Linked DNA regions of Arabidopsis thaliana. The protein of the gene in region 4 interacts with the protein of the main gene of each other region in a pairwise test. Each region holds a gene or a part of one and is shown on either strand. Other genes may lie near its edges. The genes, in order: AT4G01460, GATA7, CIA2 and AT1G11490.

Evidence for each region.
Region 1: the proteins of AT1G11490 (region 4) and AT4G01460 interact in a two-hybrid assay, tested with the Arabidopsis thaliana proteins (one large-scale study listed by BioGRID).
Region 2: the proteins of AT1G11490 (region 4) and GATA7 interact in a two-hybrid assay, tested with the Arabidopsis thaliana proteins (one large-scale study listed by BioGRID).
Region 3: the proteins of AT1G11490 (region 4) and CIA2 interact in a two-hybrid assay, tested with the Arabidopsis thaliana proteins (one large-scale study listed by BioGRID).

The regions. Positions count from the first base shown.
Region 1 is NC_003075.7:618,943-623,519, reverse strand, and holds AT4G01460 (basic helix-loop-helix (bHLH) DNA-binding superfamily protein), read right to left. Parts: upstream 2,830-4,577; 5' UTR 2,543-2,829; exon of another isoform or gene 2,193-2,542; 5' UTR 2,187-2,192; coding exon 1,749-2,186; intron 1,648-1,748; coding exon 1,249-1,647; intron 934-1,248; coding exon 823-933; 3' UTR 521-822; downstream 1-520.
Region 2 is NC_003075.7:17,146,599-17,150,395, reverse strand, and holds GATA7 (GATA transcription factor 7), read left to right. Parts: upstream 1-1,899; 5' UTR 1,900-2,184; coding exon 2,185-2,385; intron 2,386-2,504; coding exon 2,505-3,020; 3' UTR 3,021-3,256; downstream 3,257-3,797. UniProt on the Arabidopsis thaliana protein: Transcriptional activator that specifically binds 5'-GATA-3' or 5'-GAT-3' motifs within gene promoters. May be involved in the regulation of some light-responsive genes.
Region 3 is NC_003076.8:23,165,791-23,171,549, reverse strand, and holds CIA2 (chloroplast import apparatus 2), read right to left. Parts: upstream 3,777-5,759; 5' UTR 3,158-3,776; coding exon 2,054-3,157; coding exon of another isoform or gene 2,027-2,053; exon of another isoform or gene 1,427-2,026; coding exon 1,274-1,426; coding exon of another isoform or gene 1,256-1,273; exon of another isoform or gene 838-1,255; coding exon 787-837; 3' UTR 525-786; downstream 1-524. Other genes in the region: PSD2 (phosphatidylserine decarboxylase 2), read left to right, coding at 1-19. UniProt on the Arabidopsis thaliana protein: Responsible for specific up-regulation of the translocon genes TOC33 and TOC75 in leaves. Involved in the general chloroplast protein import pathway regulation, including protein import and protein translation efficiencies.
Region 4 is NC_003070.9:3,868,372-3,872,312, forward strand, and holds AT1G11490 (zinc finger (C2H2 type) family protein), read right to left. Parts: upstream 2,155-3,941; 5' UTR 2,072-2,154; intron 1,938-2,071; exon of another isoform or gene 1,824-1,937; 5' UTR 1,695-1,823; coding exon 1,241-1,694; intron 1,157-1,240; coding exon 513-1,156; downstream 1-512. Other genes in the region: AT1G11500 (transmembrane protein, putative (DUF1218)), read left to right, coding at 2,447-2,560, 2,647-2,873, 2,971-3,199; AT1G11510 (DNA-binding storekeeper protein-related transcriptional regulator), read right to left, coding at 3,407-3,941.

The DNA.
Region 1 (4,577 bases), on a different chromosome or scaffold from region 4:
TTAATAAGCTTTGAATACAAAAGTTAAATATATGCGGAAACCGATATATGAATTAAAATTTCGAAAAAAGTAATGTGAGTGAGATAGGCTGAGTTTTACGTATTACAAGCGAGACCGATGTGTCAATGAGACTCTGACCATAGGCTTCCTTTTACGATGCTTTTTTACCATTGGAATATTAAAAAAATTCTGCCACCTTTCTCTTCGTTGTTAAAAGTAAAACTAGAGTCATTATACAATAAACAAGTATTTTTAGTCAGTAGACGTTGATGCAAAAGAATACCTTTAAATTTATGTTGTAGCTGTACCTTTTTTATCAAGCGTAGATTTGTCAGACGCATGGACGATATGAGAGTATTAATAAAACGTATATGCAAAATATAAAAAGAGGTTGCGAAGTGTGAAGGCGACTTCTTCTTAGTAATAATGATGTTTCATCTTTAATTGTATTTGTTTCCATTTCCGTAACCATTCTAATACGGACGTCTAAAGTCAATTTCTTAACATTATTACTAAGTGGGAAACATTTATAAATGGAAGTAAATATTACTCATGGTTAACTTTTTTCGTTTTCGGGGTCAAACTGAACTCATAGGTTAGTTTATATTCAAAAATTACAGGCAATAATAACCTAAACCTTCATGTGACCAATAATAATGTCATCGTAGAACACTGCGAGTTTGCTACTAATCTAAAATCCAAAAAGTATAAGATAATAATTAAAACTCCCAAAATTTCACCTCTTTGGTTTTTCTTATTTATATCACGTCCCTTTTCTTTGTAACCTAAAGTTTACACACGTTACTAGGAGTCAAAAGTCAACTAAGTTCGACTAAGATTTGACCACATGACTTCACCGTTGATTTGCTCGAAGATCTGATGAACGGCTGTCGCTATCTCATCTGCTGATCCTAATTTACAACCATCTTCCATCTGCATGCACAACACCATTCATTTCTCATCTCTCCAAAACTAAACAAAAATTAGCAACTTACTAAAAAATTAAACTAAAATTTTCTAAGCTTAGAGTGAAGGAAAAAAATACACACACACACACATAATTGTAGATATTTTCTATTATGGTTTCTCATGCATTTTAATTTTCTTAAGTACCAAACATTTCAAAATGAAGATTCCTTAATTTTCCTCAAAAAGTCAAAAATTGCTAGTTACATAAGACTATTTATAATAATGCTTAAACTAGTGGAAATTGAAACTGATAGTTTAAGAGATGATTAAGAAAATTACCTTGAGATTGAAAGAGTAGATGACAAAGTCAAAGGAAGAAGAGATAGTGAGATGTAGAATCGCAAGCTTTAGTTCTTCAATCGAGACAATAGCTTTTAAGATCTGTCGTTTTCCTCTCTTACACCGAACTTTTAAGCTCACATGGTTCTGTATCACCGTAGCCTCCACTTCTGTCGTATCTCCACCGCCGAATCTCGCCGTAAATCCATTTTCCGACGTCGTAGACACGCTAGAAATAGAAGAGTTAGTGCATGCAAGAGACGAAGATGAAGAACACGACGCCGTTTTAGGAGTTTCATCAGTTCCATCCTTTCGTTTCTCAGCTTCTAGAGATTGCAAGAGTTGCTCTAGTTCCTTGATGAAATCTATTGCCCCTCCTACAATCGAAGCTTGGTCACCCTAGAGAAACAAAAACGTTTTCTTGTTAAAGCTAAATTACGTTCTTGAAAAGAAAAAAAAATTACGTTCTTGTTTAATGAACCCTTAAAACATTTTGTTACCCGTTGAAGAAACGAAGGAGGCATGAGAGATCGGAGAGAGTTTAAGTGTTCGTTCATTTGTCGTCTTCGATTACGTTCGACGGCAATGTGAGTCATCCTTTGGTTTTCAACTTCGTCTTTGTTCTTTGGAGCTCTTGTACGTTTCCGTTTTCTTTTTTCTTTGACCGTTACTGCTCCGTTTTCTGTTCTTGGATCCTTTTCCGGGTCATCTGTTTGACCCGGATCTCTTTTGATGTTTGTTTCAAGGGTGAGACAGCTCTTTGATTCTAGGGTTTGGATCTGGAGAAGTGATTGGAGAAACTGATTTGGTTCTGTTGTTGTAAAAGGGTGTTCTATGCATTGAAGCATTTGCAGAAATGGTATCTTCTCTTCCATAGTAGTGTCTGAAATCTGACCAAATTGGTCTTCTAATTCACCAAAACTCATCAATCCACTCATAATTAGCTTCAACAAAGAAAAAAACAAGAGAGATTAGTTTTAGGATACCATTTTGACAAGAAAACAAAAATCTACTAAATCTTAAAGTGGGTATGAGAAATAAATGGTTTGGTAGGTGAATTCTTAAGACAGAACAAAGAGGATGTACGAGGAGAGAACATTAAATGATGAGAAATAAAGAATGTCGCAGCGAGAGGAAACAATAATAAAAGTAGCAGAATTTGGATAAGCTATTGTAAAATGAATTTACAAGAATTTTGCATTGAATGTTAATCATATGAAAGGAGGAGGAAGAAGAAGAGTAAATGCACAAAACAGTATTCTGTATATGAGAATAAATTACAAGAGAGGCTTACATGAGAAGCTTTATGAGTCTCTCTAATGGAACTGTTTTCTGAAGTAATATTTTTGTAACTTTGAGTATTTAGATATAGGTGTCTTTCCTCAAATAGTCTTCAAATTAACAACTTCTGCTGCTGCTTCTTCTTCTCTCTCTTTCCTCTAAACTAAAAACATTCCTTTAGGGGTTGACACTTTCTAAACTGTTCTTAATAAATGCAGTTTTCCACATATATAAAAGGAGAGAAGACGAGGAAGAGAAGAAGAAGAGGTTCGGTGCATATATGTATAAAAAAACCAAGGGTGAAAAATAAAAATACTATACTATAGCTAAATTATCTAGTTATATATATAGTCGTCGATATTTAGTATTTTACACGCACACATACAGTAATATATGTATGTATTATTAATTAAATATTTAATCCGTGAAACAGATAACCTTTCTTCTTCTTTTTTTAACCTAAATTTTGGACAAAAATATACGTGGGTGTCCTGTCCTCCAGATCAAATATTTATGACCTTGTCCTCTTTGGGCCTTCAAAATAATTTTCTTTCGGGACAATACTCTTTGATTTTTGTTCTTAACGAATTTTACTTTGGTAAATATAAGGAATTCGATAGACTTTGATGAAGGAATTCGATATTTGGCTCGACCAAAAAACATATAAAATACTTTATCTATAAAAATAATTCTACTTAAACAGAAACTTTGAAGATTCACACTAACATATATACATGTTTAAATCATCATCCAAAAATCTTCTTCTGTGTTTGGATATGTTGGCTTCATTGGTGTTACATATATATTAACCGTTTTGACCAAAAAATAATAATATATTAACCGTATTTATTTCATTTTCTTACCATATGTTTTGCTACAACTATTAGAAATTAAGTGTATATATATAATATAACTCTGTATAGACACAATGAGATTGTGCGTTGGGACTAGGAGGGGTCCCGTAAAAGTATTATTGAAGAGGGCAGTGAAGACAGTTTTGTTTGGTGGGGACACGTCTTCCATGAACAGTACTTCTCACTCTTATTAAGACAGTTTCAGGATCAGAAAAGAAGACCAAGCCTCTCTTGCTTCTTCCTCTTTTTCTTTTCTATCTTTAGAGAATTAGTTTTCTCCAATCCAAAAAGGGTTTTCATGTCTTTTACTTCAACTTTTCATTTACTTTGTTTTTTCTCTTTTAATCGAGCTAGAACAAGTACATTATGGGTCTTTAAGTATTTCCCAATATGGTGTGTTGACTTAGTGCTATAAAAATTAAGAATGACAATAGTACCCTTTAAGAAGAGGACGAACAATGCACATGGCCAAGGCCAAGGCCATGGGTGCCAAACGTTAAGTATCCTAATAATACCAACTCGATTTCAGTGCCTTGGTCTGTAGGGCAAACAACAGTACTCTCCCCCAAAAGAAATTTACCTTTTTATTTTTGTTTCCTTCTCCCAAACTACAGATTTTTATTCTACCTCAAAGTCTTTTAAGAACTTGGATTTTGTACCATGCATAAGTGAGTCCAAAACTCACATGCAACCTAATAAAATTGAATAGACTACATTTGAAAAATAGGCCAAACGAATTATGAAGAAAGGAAAATAGATGTATGAAAATATAACACACAAAATGTTTTTATATTATTATAGATAAAGAAAAAAAAAATTACAAGTTTTGTCTAGTACATTATCCACCCAATAAGAGCATGTCACATACCAATTGAGAAAAAAGTGGAGTAAATTTTTATATATTACTTAGCTAAACACAAGAATATCTATAATATATATCATTATCAACATATCATATGTGGATAGCTATTTCTTCAGCCATTATAGGTTCGAATGGAAATCAGTTTGCATTAGACACGCGAACCACATTTTCTTAGGTAGTTCCCTACGTGTAACATTAGACCCGAAATAGCACTTATTTATCGTCAAAGTAAGTATGTAGAATATGATTTTACAATTTATAGTTCTATGTACCATCCATATAACCGAAGATACGGTACTAGTTTGTTTAAGAAAAAAAAAAGAAGATACGAT
Region 2 (3,797 bases), on a different chromosome or scaffold from region 4:
TGAACTATATTATTACAGGTTGTCTAGTGAACCAAATGTTGGGGCCAATAGTAGATCTGTAATTAATCTTTCAGTAGGAAAAATAGTTGGGAAAATAGTCGAAATGACTAAAATCCGATATGGAATAACAATATCGTTTTTTGGGTCTAAGATATTGATATTTATGGAGCAATGCTATATTGGTTTCAAGTGTACATTTTTTTTTATCCGAGGGTTCAAGACTTAAAAGCTCAACCAAATTTCCGATATACAAAGAATGTGATATTTTTATGGCTATCACTTACATCGTTGCTACATTTAATTAATTTCTATTTTCTCTGAATGCAAATAACTTAAATCGAAGTTCATTTTAAATTATAAACGTAAATTTCATGAAGTAATTTTGTATTTACGCTTTTAAAAAAACTTGAATGGTTTTCATGTAAACTTAATCATCATATAAGTTACGTACAGTGTCAATGTTCATATCACATATATGACTATATGAAAGTATAGTTTACGAGATAAATACTGTGGGGAAAAAAGAAAAAAAAAGCTACACTACACAGATGAGAGATGGATGCATAGAGAACGAGATCATGAAAGTTTACTATCTTATGTTATCGAACGATAATGATTTCATGGGTATAAAATAGTCTAATTTGTACGGTTACTCCTCTGCCAACATACATCGCATTCAATAACATTCCACCTTTTACCGACTTGCATTGAGCCCATGTGGCCCATCGGGCTAATTAGGCATATAGTCAGTTTAGTGAGCCACCACCATATTGTATGTCATCAGTCTACGACTTTCTTGCGTTAATTTAATCCGAGGGGAAAAAAATTGATGTAGCAGTAGAGAATTTAAAGAGGGGTGTTCCGAGAATCGAACTCGGGACCTCTCGCACCCGAAGCGAGAATCATACCACTAGACCAAACACCCAATTGTTTGGAATGTAGTTCATTATATTTATAATAAAAATACAAGTCTATGTATTTTATTATTATTTACTATTTAGGTATGTGTGTAATTTGAATATGTTTATGCTCCATTGCTCCTGGTAAACTTTACGTGAATGTTTAGATGTTTTTTTTCTAACTTTGAAACCGACTTTTTCTAATGGAAATTATTATCTCAAAGAAAAAACAAATATATAACCATGAGCGATATTTTCACGCGCTCAACATATGATGGTCACTCTTTCCTTGAAATTAAAGAAGAAATAAATAATAGGCCCTTACTAATAACGTTTTTGTTTGTTTTGGTAAAATTGGGCCTTCCACCGACGGTCGAGTGGGCCCGAGAAGCCTGATAGTCCAATCATTACTCTCGACGTATGAATTATTGTTAATTTTTTTCTTCTTTTCTGTAAAACCTTCGAAATACTGATACAACAAAAAAAAAAAAAAATATATATATATATATATATATATATATGTGCTACTAGTTTCTTTTTTATGTTAACAAAAAAAAACCATATTTTGCAAGAAACTAGCTTTATATAGAGGGAAAGTTGTATTAACCGACGATATTTTTGGCCCAACAACACTTTCAACGGTCATGATTAATTAGGTTGAGCCATTAGATCGTTAGAATACCACTAGTTCTGAATGACTTTATTCAGTTATTTTGATAGTAAAAGAACTTAAAAAGACTTGCAAACTCTGCGCCGATGGTTAAGTCAAAAATGATAGTTCTAAATTATGAAGAAATCTTTGCTGTCTTTTAATATTATGAACTTAAAATTTGGCATTAAGAACTCTAATAAATTGAATTGACTACAAAGAGCGGTTATCTTTAAATAAAATTCTACGGATAAGTTCAGATAACATTTAAAAAAAAAAAAAAAAAACATTTTACTTACGAAGGAAACGTATTTTTGGTTTCCTTTTCAATGTGAAATGCTGACATGGCAATGCATGATTTGTTACGAGATTTGTAACGAGACAAATACCAAACAAGTCTTCCAAAATCACAAAAACCTAAAACCCACTCTTGCTTACAAACCCCAATCAGTGCTGTCCACTCTCCACTGTCTCTCTCACTCGATAGACACGTAAAGAATTTAAAATTTTGAAAAAGAAAGAATGAAATTTGTGTAAAATATATTGGAACACGAACAAACTTTTTCAAATATGGATTCGCTTCGCTCCTCCTTTATTTAAAATACTTGTAGTGCTTTCATACGGCTAGAGACAAAAATGGAGTGTGTAGAAGCATTTCTCGGTGATTTTTCCGTCGACGATCTTCTCGACCTCTCTAACGCCGACACTTCTTTAGAGTCGTCTTCGTCACAAAGAAAAGAAGACGAACAAGAACGTGAGAAATTTAAGAGCTTTTCTGACCAAAGTACCCGTCTTTCACCGCCAGAGGATCTCTTATCTTTTCCCGGCGACGCTCCGGTGAGCCCACTTACACACTCTGTTTCTATCTCCCCTGTTTTGTACACTCTGTTTCTCTCTACCCTGTTTTTGCTCTGTTTTGCTCTGTTTTTAATCTCATTTTTGTTTTGTTTGTGAAGGTTGGTGATTTGGAGGACTTAGAGTGGTTATCCAACTTCGTGGAGGATTCTTTCTCAGAATCGTATATTTCGAGTGATTTCCCGGTGAATCCAGTCGCGTCGGTGGAGGTTCGGAGACAGTGCGTTCCTGTTAAACCTAGAAGCAAACGCCGCCGCACCAACGGCCGTATCTGGTCTATGGAGTCTCCATCTCCTCTGCTATCCACCGCTGTTGCCAGAAGGAAGAAGAGAGGGAGACAGAAGGTGGATGCATCGTACGGTGGCGTAGTCCAGCAGCAGCAGCTGAGGCGGTGCTGCAGCCATTGTGGAGTCCAGAAGACGCCTCAATGGAGAATGGGTCCATTAGGTGCGAAGACACTGTGTAATGCTTGTGGGGTCCGGTTTAAGTCGGGTCGACTTTTACCCGAATATAGACCCGCTTGTAGCCCAACATTCACCAACGAGATTCACTCTAACTCTCACCGGAAAGTGTTGGAGCTACGGCTCATGAAAGTGGCGGATCCGGCTCGGGTTTAAGCCATTTTTTTCTATCTTGAAATTTTATCAATGCCATGTGCATTGTGTAATCTTGTAAACAGAGAATCAGAGAGAGATCCGTAGACTGTTTTCACATTCATGAAGTTAAGCTATAATTAGAGACAATTTTATTTGATAGAGTATGCATGATTAGAAATCATGATCATTAAAAGTTTTGTTAAATACAGTCCAACCGTTACCCAAATTTTTGTGACCACAACCATAATTAACTACTGTTACTTCCTCTTAGCTCACACTCTTTTCATTTAGAGTTTTTTTAAAAAACTGCTAATGCAAAAAAAAAAAAAGTTGTTAAAACGTTATTTTGAAATTTTGCCTTTATAACTGTTTTTTCAAAATATCGTCGTTGCCCCTTAAAGTTAAAGTAGAATTTTGTATATTTTTATTAAACCAGTATAGAAGTTGTTAACATTGAGACAAGATAAAAGATAAAATTTGACCAAAAATCAATTTAATTTTTCAATTACACAACCCTAAAAATTTACGACGTACGAGCCCCTCATTCACACTCTTATGTTAAAAAAACTGAAAATCAATCCATATCGATCTAATACTTGTGCGGCTACAAATACCAATGCATTGGTTATTTTCTAAATTATGTTATTGTATCATTGATAGTTGACACAGTGTTTATATATTTAAGAATACAAACTGGTATACTTTCTGTTTGCATACACAAATATTGGTGACTCCATTTTTTTTATTTTTTTTGTACATGTAAAATACTAAAGCAAACCCTCACATAAAGATTAGTAG
Region 3 (5,759 bases), on a different chromosome or scaffold from region 4:
TAGGTCTACATTGATCTGAAAATCTTTGCCACTGAACTGATTACCAGAGACCAATTTGGTTTGATTTGATTTTCCTCTTGTTTCGTGCATAATAACTCTGTATATAAACCAAACGATATCTCTTGTATCATGTATACAAGTAATGAGCTCAACACATTCCTTGTGCAGAGAGTTCTGTTTTTGCCATTCCGTCAAGCCTTGTAAAATAACACTCGATTCTTGGTCAAAGATAAAATGGTATCTAGAAGAAGCTACCATTCAAAAATCATATAACACGTCCTAGAAGCTATTTTTGCCCTTAATTCAATATGCTTTTTCTCTATAATGTTTTTATTGGGAAAGGAAATTTGGCTCGGCAAAAACAGATATTGAGAGGTATCAATGATTTGTCACCGGTTTTGATGACTCAAAGAAGCAATGGGCAACGAAACAACAGGTGTACAAGGCTGCAACATAGTTTGAGCCATTGGGATTGGTGAATAATCCATGTCTTGTTTTTTGCTACTGTTGTTGTTGAGCCAAGTCTCTGACTTGCTTCTTGAGTCATTAAAATCTCAAGAGCTCTGTTTCTTCTATTAATAACAAAAACTTTTATTAGTTTTGATCCCTCACTTTCTCAATCAAATCTCCCCCTCATCAAAAAATCTAAATTATAAACCAAAAGGGACCATAACTTAAAAGAAACAAAAAAGGAGGGTGCCAAAATTTTAGAAACAAAAATAAAACAAGGAATAAACAAAAGATAAAAAAAAAAAGATAAGATAAATCTAGGCTCTTTTATCCTTGTTATCTTTGTCCACTTGGAGTGCTCTCATTGGGCCTTCTCACGAATCGTCCCTGTTCCCACATCCCATCACCAACCACAAAAAGAAAAGAAAACATTAATATTAGGTTCTTGTCTTAATCAAATCTAATGTATATATCCCTAGCCCTTGACCTCAATCTAACGTTATTAGTTAGTTTTGTTTCCTTTAGATGACAATTCTTAATATATTTAACCTTTGGTTTGGTTTTAAATCTTTTTGTTTGGCTTGTGGTACGTAGTTTCCTTTACTTGTTCGGTTTGGTTCATTTGGAATAAAGATACCCAAAAGAAAGCTTATTTCATCTTCTTGAAGAAAAAAAACGAATAGAAAAACTCAACAAGAGTTTTCTCATCTACTTTAAATCTGAAAACTAAAGCTAGTCTTATTATGCTGATTCAAAACAAATTTTGAAGGATGGTAAAAAAAACCTACATGTTTTTAACCACTGACTAAGATGGGTTAGATACCTTCATTCGAGGACGTTGATCAGCATTGAGTTTGCGAACTTGGTATCGAATTTTCTTCGAAAAAAGACGAGTTCGACGTTTCTCTTTGTACCTCAAAACACTTGCTTCTCGCATTCCACTGTCTCCGAACAAATCAATCTGAGCTAATCTAGCCTGCCCCAAAACACACACGCCACATTAGTTCATGTTCAACATTATTAATAACACAAAATACTAATCAATTGACAAAAATGAATTTCTAGTTAACTTATTTTGTAGACTACTAGACTTTATGCTAAAAGGAGTATTCGACGAAACGGATATCTACAAAATAAATTTTGAACCTCCTCATTTATCCTATACGTGAAAATTCACGTGCACAGTCTATAAAGTTTTCATTGGACAAATAAAAAGCAGCTTTTTTTTTTCTTAATTGATTGAAAGTCATCACAGAAAAAAATGTTATTTATAATAAAAAGAAGACTATGTACCAAAGTCAAAGGGTTAATAATTATTCTTCAAAATACGTTACAGGAAAAATTATTAATAAGAACTTTCCACAAAATTTAATAAATTCTTGTCAGATACTTCAAACTATATCATAGCTAATAAATTACTAATTCAGCATTAATGAGAACACACTCCTCAACAGCCACGTGGCAGAATACTAATGGCCAAAACAGAATCCCGAATAATTAATTATTTCAAACTAACCATTAACTAAAGAAAAATAAACATAGAAAATATCGAATTTTAACGGCGAGGGATTTGAGATTAAGAAGAGATTAGTGTTAAACATACATTGACATCGACAGCTTCCGATCCCTGAATCTCGTCGGGAAACGGCGACGTTTTATCAGACCAAGCTTCCAAAACGCCGTCGTAATCAAGCTTCAACAACGGACCTGTTCTCTTCAAACTCGTCTCCTCCGTATCTTCCAAGCTTTTCGATTCCGTAATCAATGTCGTCGTCACCGTCATTTTCTTCTTCTTCTTCTTCTTATTACTCTTCTCTCCAGAGATTACCACCTTCTTACCGTCGGATTTCTCCTCATCAACGGTGGAGATTGCAGTTTCGGTTTTGACAGTTTGAATTCGCGGCGAGATCTGTTCGAAATCAACGGTATGAATCTTCCACAATTTTGTGTCGTCGTTTTCTCTGAGAGCACTTCGTAATCCAAGCCCTAACGGGAAATTGAATCCGTTAGAGCTTCGATTCCATGAATTGATCATCATCATCTGTTCTAGTTTACCAATCCGATTAGAAGAACTTCTTCCACCGCGATTGATCATTCCCGGAACCCTAGATTCATAAATCCCCGAATTTGAATTCGATTCCACCACAGTCCCCATTATACTATCGATTCCTTCTTCAATATCCTCATCGAGAATCGATTCAGCATCGAATTCGTCGGAGAAATCAAACTTTTCGATTTCACCACCGTAGCAATCTCCACCGGAGTTAACTTCCTTCTGGTCTGAGAAAAACTCTGTTTTCGTTTGAATCGTTGGATGAAACAGAAAATCAGGTTCTTCGATTGATTCATAAGGAAGAAGCAAATCAGAAGCGTCGTCGTTGTCACTAAGCAATGGCCCGTAGAAGTGAGAGTTTGATGAAGAGTGAGTTTTTTGCTTAGAGGACAAGTTTGAGGAGAAGATGTTGGGATAAGCAGTAGAGAGAAGAGTAGCTGCTTCGTTGTAAGTCTGGTTTGGTCTTTTGCGTTGTGTTCTTGGCTTTCTCGTTGAGATTGCGAGTGGTGAATTTGATGATTCGGAGATTGTTGATGATGGTGAAGTAGCTCTTGTTGTTGTTGTTGAGGATGATGGTGGTGGTGATTTCACTTTTTCTAACTCGAAACTATATGCTGCTGCTCCTCCTCCTCCGCTGCTTAAACACGCCGACATTTTTTTTGTCCGGTGAAATCGGAAAAGAAACAAGACCAAAACTTTGAAGATTGTAAGAACTTTTGTGAGTGAGAAGAGAGTGATGAAATTAAGATTTTTGCCTTTTGATTAAAGAATTGTGTTTAATTTTAAGATAATAATAAACCCTTAAAACCCACTGAAGAAACCTTTTTTTATTTGGTGAGAAAATACAAAATTGAAGGGGGAAAAAAAGATCAAAACTTTAGGGAAAGAGGAAGATTCTGCTAACAAATGTTCATCATTTGAAAGAAAGAGCTAAGAAAACCCATTTGGAATCTGAGATTTATGTGTATGAAAACCAAAAGAATTGGCCAACGAGTGAGGTTTTACAGAAAGAAGCTAATTGGTTTGTGAAGAGGGAGAGAGAGATTGGAGGAGAAAGAAGAGTCACGAGATATATAAGAGGAGAAAGATTAGGGTTTTAGTGAGAGCTTAGTAACAAACAAAGGAGAGTTTAGTAAATAAATAGTGAAGAGCGTTTTTTTTTTTTTTGGTTTAGGGGTAATTTTAACTTTGAGAAGAGAAGTTGTGGAGAAACAGAGAGAGTGGTGGGAAGAAGAAGACGAGAGAGAGAGAGAGAGAGTGAGCGAATGGTGAAGAAGGGACAAGATAGCTCGTAATCGGCAATTCTGGAATGAATGGGGTCCACCAGTGGATTTTTTCACTTTTTGTATTGATTTAAAATTACTTTGTAAAACGAGTTTTCTTATGGATAGAGATACTTCCACGACTAAAGATTTCTATTCCATTTCAGAAATAGCCATTCAAAAGGTTTATAAGGTAAATTTTGTTACTGAAAACTCTTGGCTAATCTACAATGACTGGTGTTTGAATCAAAGTAAATTTCTCTATTTATTTTTTTGTTATAATGTTAATTAAGAAAAAAAGCTTTAAACAATGTTTGAGAGTTATTGAGAAATGATTTGGAGATTGAAAACAAAATAATGAAAAATCAATTGTTAAACCTATAATAAAGCGATATGATTGTGGCAACGATCGGTCATAATACGATTGAATTAAATTTGTTATGTGTTGATTTAACAAATTTATTTGTTCATTAACATTTACTCAAAATATAAAATATTAATTTTGTGACGATTTGGTAATAATGTAATGTAGCGACGATCGTTCATTCTTAAAGTTAAATTTTTATGTATTACATTAATATAACGACAGTAAGTCATTAATTCAAATTGAGTAAATCTTTTATGTATTGATTTATTGATATTATCCACTTGTTACACAATAATTTTTACCCAAAAATTTAAGATATTATTTTGCATATCGATCTTGTGGTGAGTAAGTAATATAACAGCGATCAGTCATTAATTTGAAAGGGGGATAAATATTTTGAGTGTGATTTATCGAAATTACTCATGATTGAAAAATATTAATCACATCATCGATTAAGTGGTAAGTAATGATGTAGCGCCGATCAATTGTCTAATCCAGCCTGTGGCAGTATTATATTAGTTGAGGTTGAGGATTTTTCTTCTTAGTTGATACCAAAAATCGAGTTCTACCATTCACAATATTTAATTTCAGCTCTTTAAACTAGTATAGAGTTAAACAAATTTATCCACTATTAGTTTTAGTTTCAATTTAGAGTCACCATATATTAGTTTAATTTTTGTTTCTATTAATTGCAGGTCCGGCTCTACACATGTGCCGGAGGAGCGAGGCACAGAGTCAACCCAAAATTTCTCTTTTTTTTGAAGTAAATCTAATACAATTACGATCCAAAAAAAAGATTTACATAACAAAACATAGGAAATGAGAACTAATTTTTTTTTCAGCTCTGGGTCCTTTATTATTTTGAGCCGACCCTGATTAATTGTAGCTAGAAGTGAAGCCATATATTGGTTTATATTTTAGTTTATGATATCTAGATTTTAAATAGAATTCGAAGTTATATTTTTTTACAGGTTTTGTAGAAGATTTTATTTAAAATTTGATATATATTTTTGATAATAGTAATAGTTTTAATAAGATTTCTCAGTTTTAATTTATTGATTTGGTTGTGATATCCGATTTCTGTTCTTCTTGAATAAAGTTTAACCAAGAAAAGATGCTCAAGAGTTTAATCCAGGTTGTTTAGTGAGTAATAGTCATTAATGATCCTTTTTGACTGGAGGGAAATGTGATTCTGTTTTTGGATTATTTTCTAAAAAGATGTAAAAACCACATCATCATCATCCAAATCTGCAAAATCTTTTTGGGATCTTAAAGAGAAAACGAGGAAAGGTCACCTTATCCATTGACGTGGCACATACCCATTGGCTCTACTAGATTTCTTTGATGACGTGGTGCTTTCTCAATTAACTGATTATGGTCGCCTGGTCGGAGACGTTTTCACGTGTTCTTAAAAAACCGACTTTATTATTTTACTAATTTCCCTTTATTAGTAAGATTTTTTTTTTTTTTCAAATTTACTAATTTAGCATATTTGGGAAAAAAATATTAGCATAAATTGATACTTTCTTATCTATATTTTAGATAATTTTTTGGATATATATATAGACATGATAATTGAAAATTTATTTCTTTCATTGACTTACTTTTTCAAGGTTAGTTTTATGTT
Region 4 (3,941 bases):
AAACCCACATCGAATTATCACTACTAATTGCAATCATGAGTTTTCCCATACCCAATCCGCAAGGTTCAGCGTCGAGATGACAAGCACCCAACACTAGGGCGTCTCTGAGTATAATTGTAGTGATCTCACATCAGCAAAACATCATCAAAAAAAAAAAAAAAGAACAAAGTGTGATTGGGGAGAGAAGAGAATAGTATCTTACAAACAGAGGTTTCCGGAGGGAGAACACTGAAGGCCGGCTCAGAAGCAGAGGAGACATGAGTGTTCTTAGCGAAGAGCTAGTCAAAGAAACCCTAATTGAAGAAAATGGTAGCACTAACAGTTACAGTCTTCTTCACCCTTTAAATATAGAGGCTGGGCATAGACTTGTCCAGCAAGTTTTCCATCTTTCAATTTTGGGGAAAGCCCAACATTTTTAACCTATTACAGGCCCACCAAATTTTGCAAGAAAAAAGAAGATGAGAAAACTATACAAAAACCTAAAGAATAAATTTTGCATATACGGGCTTGTTTCATGGCTTGAAGATTATCACAAAGCAAGGTAACAAAGCTTTTGTACTCAACAGGTAAAGCTCTTCAATTCTTGAATTTTGTCCAACTTTCAAAGCTAGTGAATCAAACTCAGAAAACCCTAAAGAATTTTCAAACGTCTGCATAGGTTTATGAACCCTCCCTGCAATCACTCTACATAGCACAACAGCTATCAATGAACCTCTATTTCTTCCTTGATCGGTTTCGATAGATTCAAGAGCTGTAGAGCTAGTTGATGCTGTGAGAACTCCTTTTATCCCATCTGGTCTTGTTTTAGGACTGAAACCATGTCTTAGAATATGACAAACTTCACAGTGATCCGAGAAACAGAGGTTTGAAGAGCTGTTACTGAAACCGAGAGTGCAAGAAAGAGTTGTACCGTGGAACCCAAGAAACTCGTTGCCATCAGCCATACAACGAGAGTGCTTCTTTGAAAGCTTGTTTGCTCTTATTTTCACGAGCTCTCTGTAATCTTCAAAGTCTGCAACAACTCTCTGCAAGTTCTGGATTTTAAAGATCGCTGAAATGTTGTTCCCTTTCATTTTGCCTAGCTTGTGAGAATAGCCTGTGTTGCAGATTAGTTCCACAGTTGTTCTTGAGAAATCTCCTGCTAAGAGTCTAACGACTGCAAAAAAGAAAAAACAAATCAAATTCTCCTCACAACATTGGCTAAAAGTCAATGAAAAAGTTCATCTAATTCAAGTCTTACCAGAGTGGTTAGAGAGGTAATGTGCTTCAAACGCGTCAAGATCTCTGACTCTCTCATGACATTTTTGACAAGCAAGAACTCCGAAACCGCAGATGTCAGAGCCAACAACATCAAATCTCTCTGAACAACGACCGGGAAGTAAATCAGAAGAAGATGCTCCGCTAAGCAAACCTTTGAATCTGTCTGAATAACCTGCATTCTCCTCAAATTTCACTGTGTTTACAAACCTGGAGCTCTCAAGAGACCGTGAGCTGCAGCAGCTTACATTCTGCATAGCTCCTTCATCTCCATTAGTTACAAAGACATCTCTCAGATTCGACATTGATCTTCTTGAGCATCCAGATGGATTCTCCTTCTTCTGAATTTGGATCTTGTCTGGATCACAAGCTACAGTTGACTTCTGTGCCTTGCAGCAGCTAAGAGACTTCTTGAGATAAAGCCAAACCCCACGCATGTTTGTTCAAGATCCGTCTTTGGATTCACTGGGAGAGATGTGAATTATAAAGATATTCTATGAAGATTTGGCTTTGATTCGGACACAGCTCTGTTTCTGTTTGTTCCTGCTTCACCATATCTACACAAACTGTTTCCAAAATGAGACTGAAGATTTCCATAAACGTATGATATCATGTCACACCATGAAAGAACAAACTAAAAAATCTTTTTTAGAAATAGAAAATTACAACTAAAATTTGACGTTTATGTTAAAAAAAAATGATCAAATCTTAACCCTGTATGATTCTTTTCCAATTACAACCTGGAAAATTATAATAATTTTTAGCATAATATGATTACAGAAAGAAAAAAAGATATGGGAATAATAATTTTCACCTCTCTTCACGTTCCAAAACAGAGTATAACGCCACATGCTGCCTCTATTGAGCTTTGACATTTTTAAAGTAAAAAAGTCAAACATGTGATCAACCTCTTAATTCAATATGAAATTATATCTTTGTAGTAGAATTATTTACTACTATATCCAGTTTACAAGAAAAGCATCCAAACTAATGTCATTATATAGAAAAGGAATGAAACTTTACTTACTTGGAAAGACCAAAACCGAATCTGTATTCTTTTGTCTTGCAGTGAGAGGCAAGCTTAGGAAAGTAATCTGATGCTGTTTCCTTATTATTTTCCTCTTCCTTAAACTTTCATAGAACAATTGAAATAAATACAGTAATCAAATAAAAATATAAGGTTTTTATTATGAATCAAGGAAAAATGGAAAGTGAACTTGGGTTCTTGGTTTCTGTTGTGATCATATGTGCAGACATTACAGCTACAGTCCTCGGGATCGAAGCCGAGATTGCTCAAAGCAAGGTTCTGTTTTATATTAAGAGTGAAATGTAGTTTATTTTATTTTAACTACCAATAATCTTTTCTTGTATTTGATGTTTATCCTTCAGGCACCTCATCATCATCATCAACAACATTCAAGACATTCAGGTTCTGGATGTCGAAGAAGCCCCAGCGATGGAGCATTTGCTGAGGGAGTAGCTGCAATGGTGCTTCTGTTTATTGTCCATGTCCTAGCTAATGTGCTTGGAGGCTGCACTTACATTCGCTCTAAGCAAGATTTCAAAAGAGCAACGGCGAACAAGATACTCGCTGTGGCTTTCCTTGTTCTCTCCTGGTAATGGAAAAGATAATAGGTTTTTGGATTTCATTCAAAAGACAAATTTGAATTATGTCAGCTGTTTTTGTTTTTGACATACCTTTGTTTGTCTTAGGATCTTTTTTGTTGTCAGCTACTCAACGCTAATGATAGGAACATTAGCCAACTCGAGAACGAATCGACTCTGCAGCTTGCCACATCGTTGGTTTTTTCTTATTGGAGGCATATTTTGTCTAGGACATGGAGTGGTGACTTCAGCATATTATGTTTCAGCAATTGCTGCTAAAAAAGAAGACAAAGAGAATGCGCAACAAGAAAATCTAGCAAATAGAAGCCGCGCATAACACGTCTTCTTCATCAAGATACACAAAATGTTTCATCTGTAAATAAACTTAAATTGCTTCAAAAAAGCTTCCTTCCATTTTGATAAATCCGCAATATTCCAAAATAAACTCTTTCAAGAATCAATAGAAAACTAAAATATAATATAAAAAAGCCAAGAGTTCTAAACAAAAGAGGCAGAACCAAAAAAACAAAAACCATAAATATATCTAAGCGTTTGATCCAAATGCTTCAGATATCTTTGATAGCACTTCAAAAAGAAAACCATGCTTCTGCAAAAAGAACTCAAATTCCCTAGCCTGCATCGCTTTCCACTGCTCGTAAAATCTCTTCATATCCTTTGAGGCAAGCTTACTCAATCCTTGTTGAGCAGTAAGTTCATCCATGCCAAGACCCACTATCGATCTAACAAGAGAAGACTTTGTAAAAGAGACTTCTCCTTCATCCATCACCTCATCTTCACAGTTGTTTTTACTGTTGGGCAAAGAAGAATCAAGTTCATGCTTCACAGACTCAAACTTACTACTCTTCTTCGACTTCTCATTAGATTTCATACCAGATGCAAGAGCCATTCTAATACCTCCCCAAACTAACTTAGACAATTCAAAAGCCTTGCGATCATGAGGTTTGACGAAAGTAGGTTCAACACCATCCTTGGCTTTACCAAGATTGTTCTCATACTTCTTCTTTAAAGCCCTAAGCTTTTCCATAAGCTGATTCTTACTAACATCAAAACTAATAGAT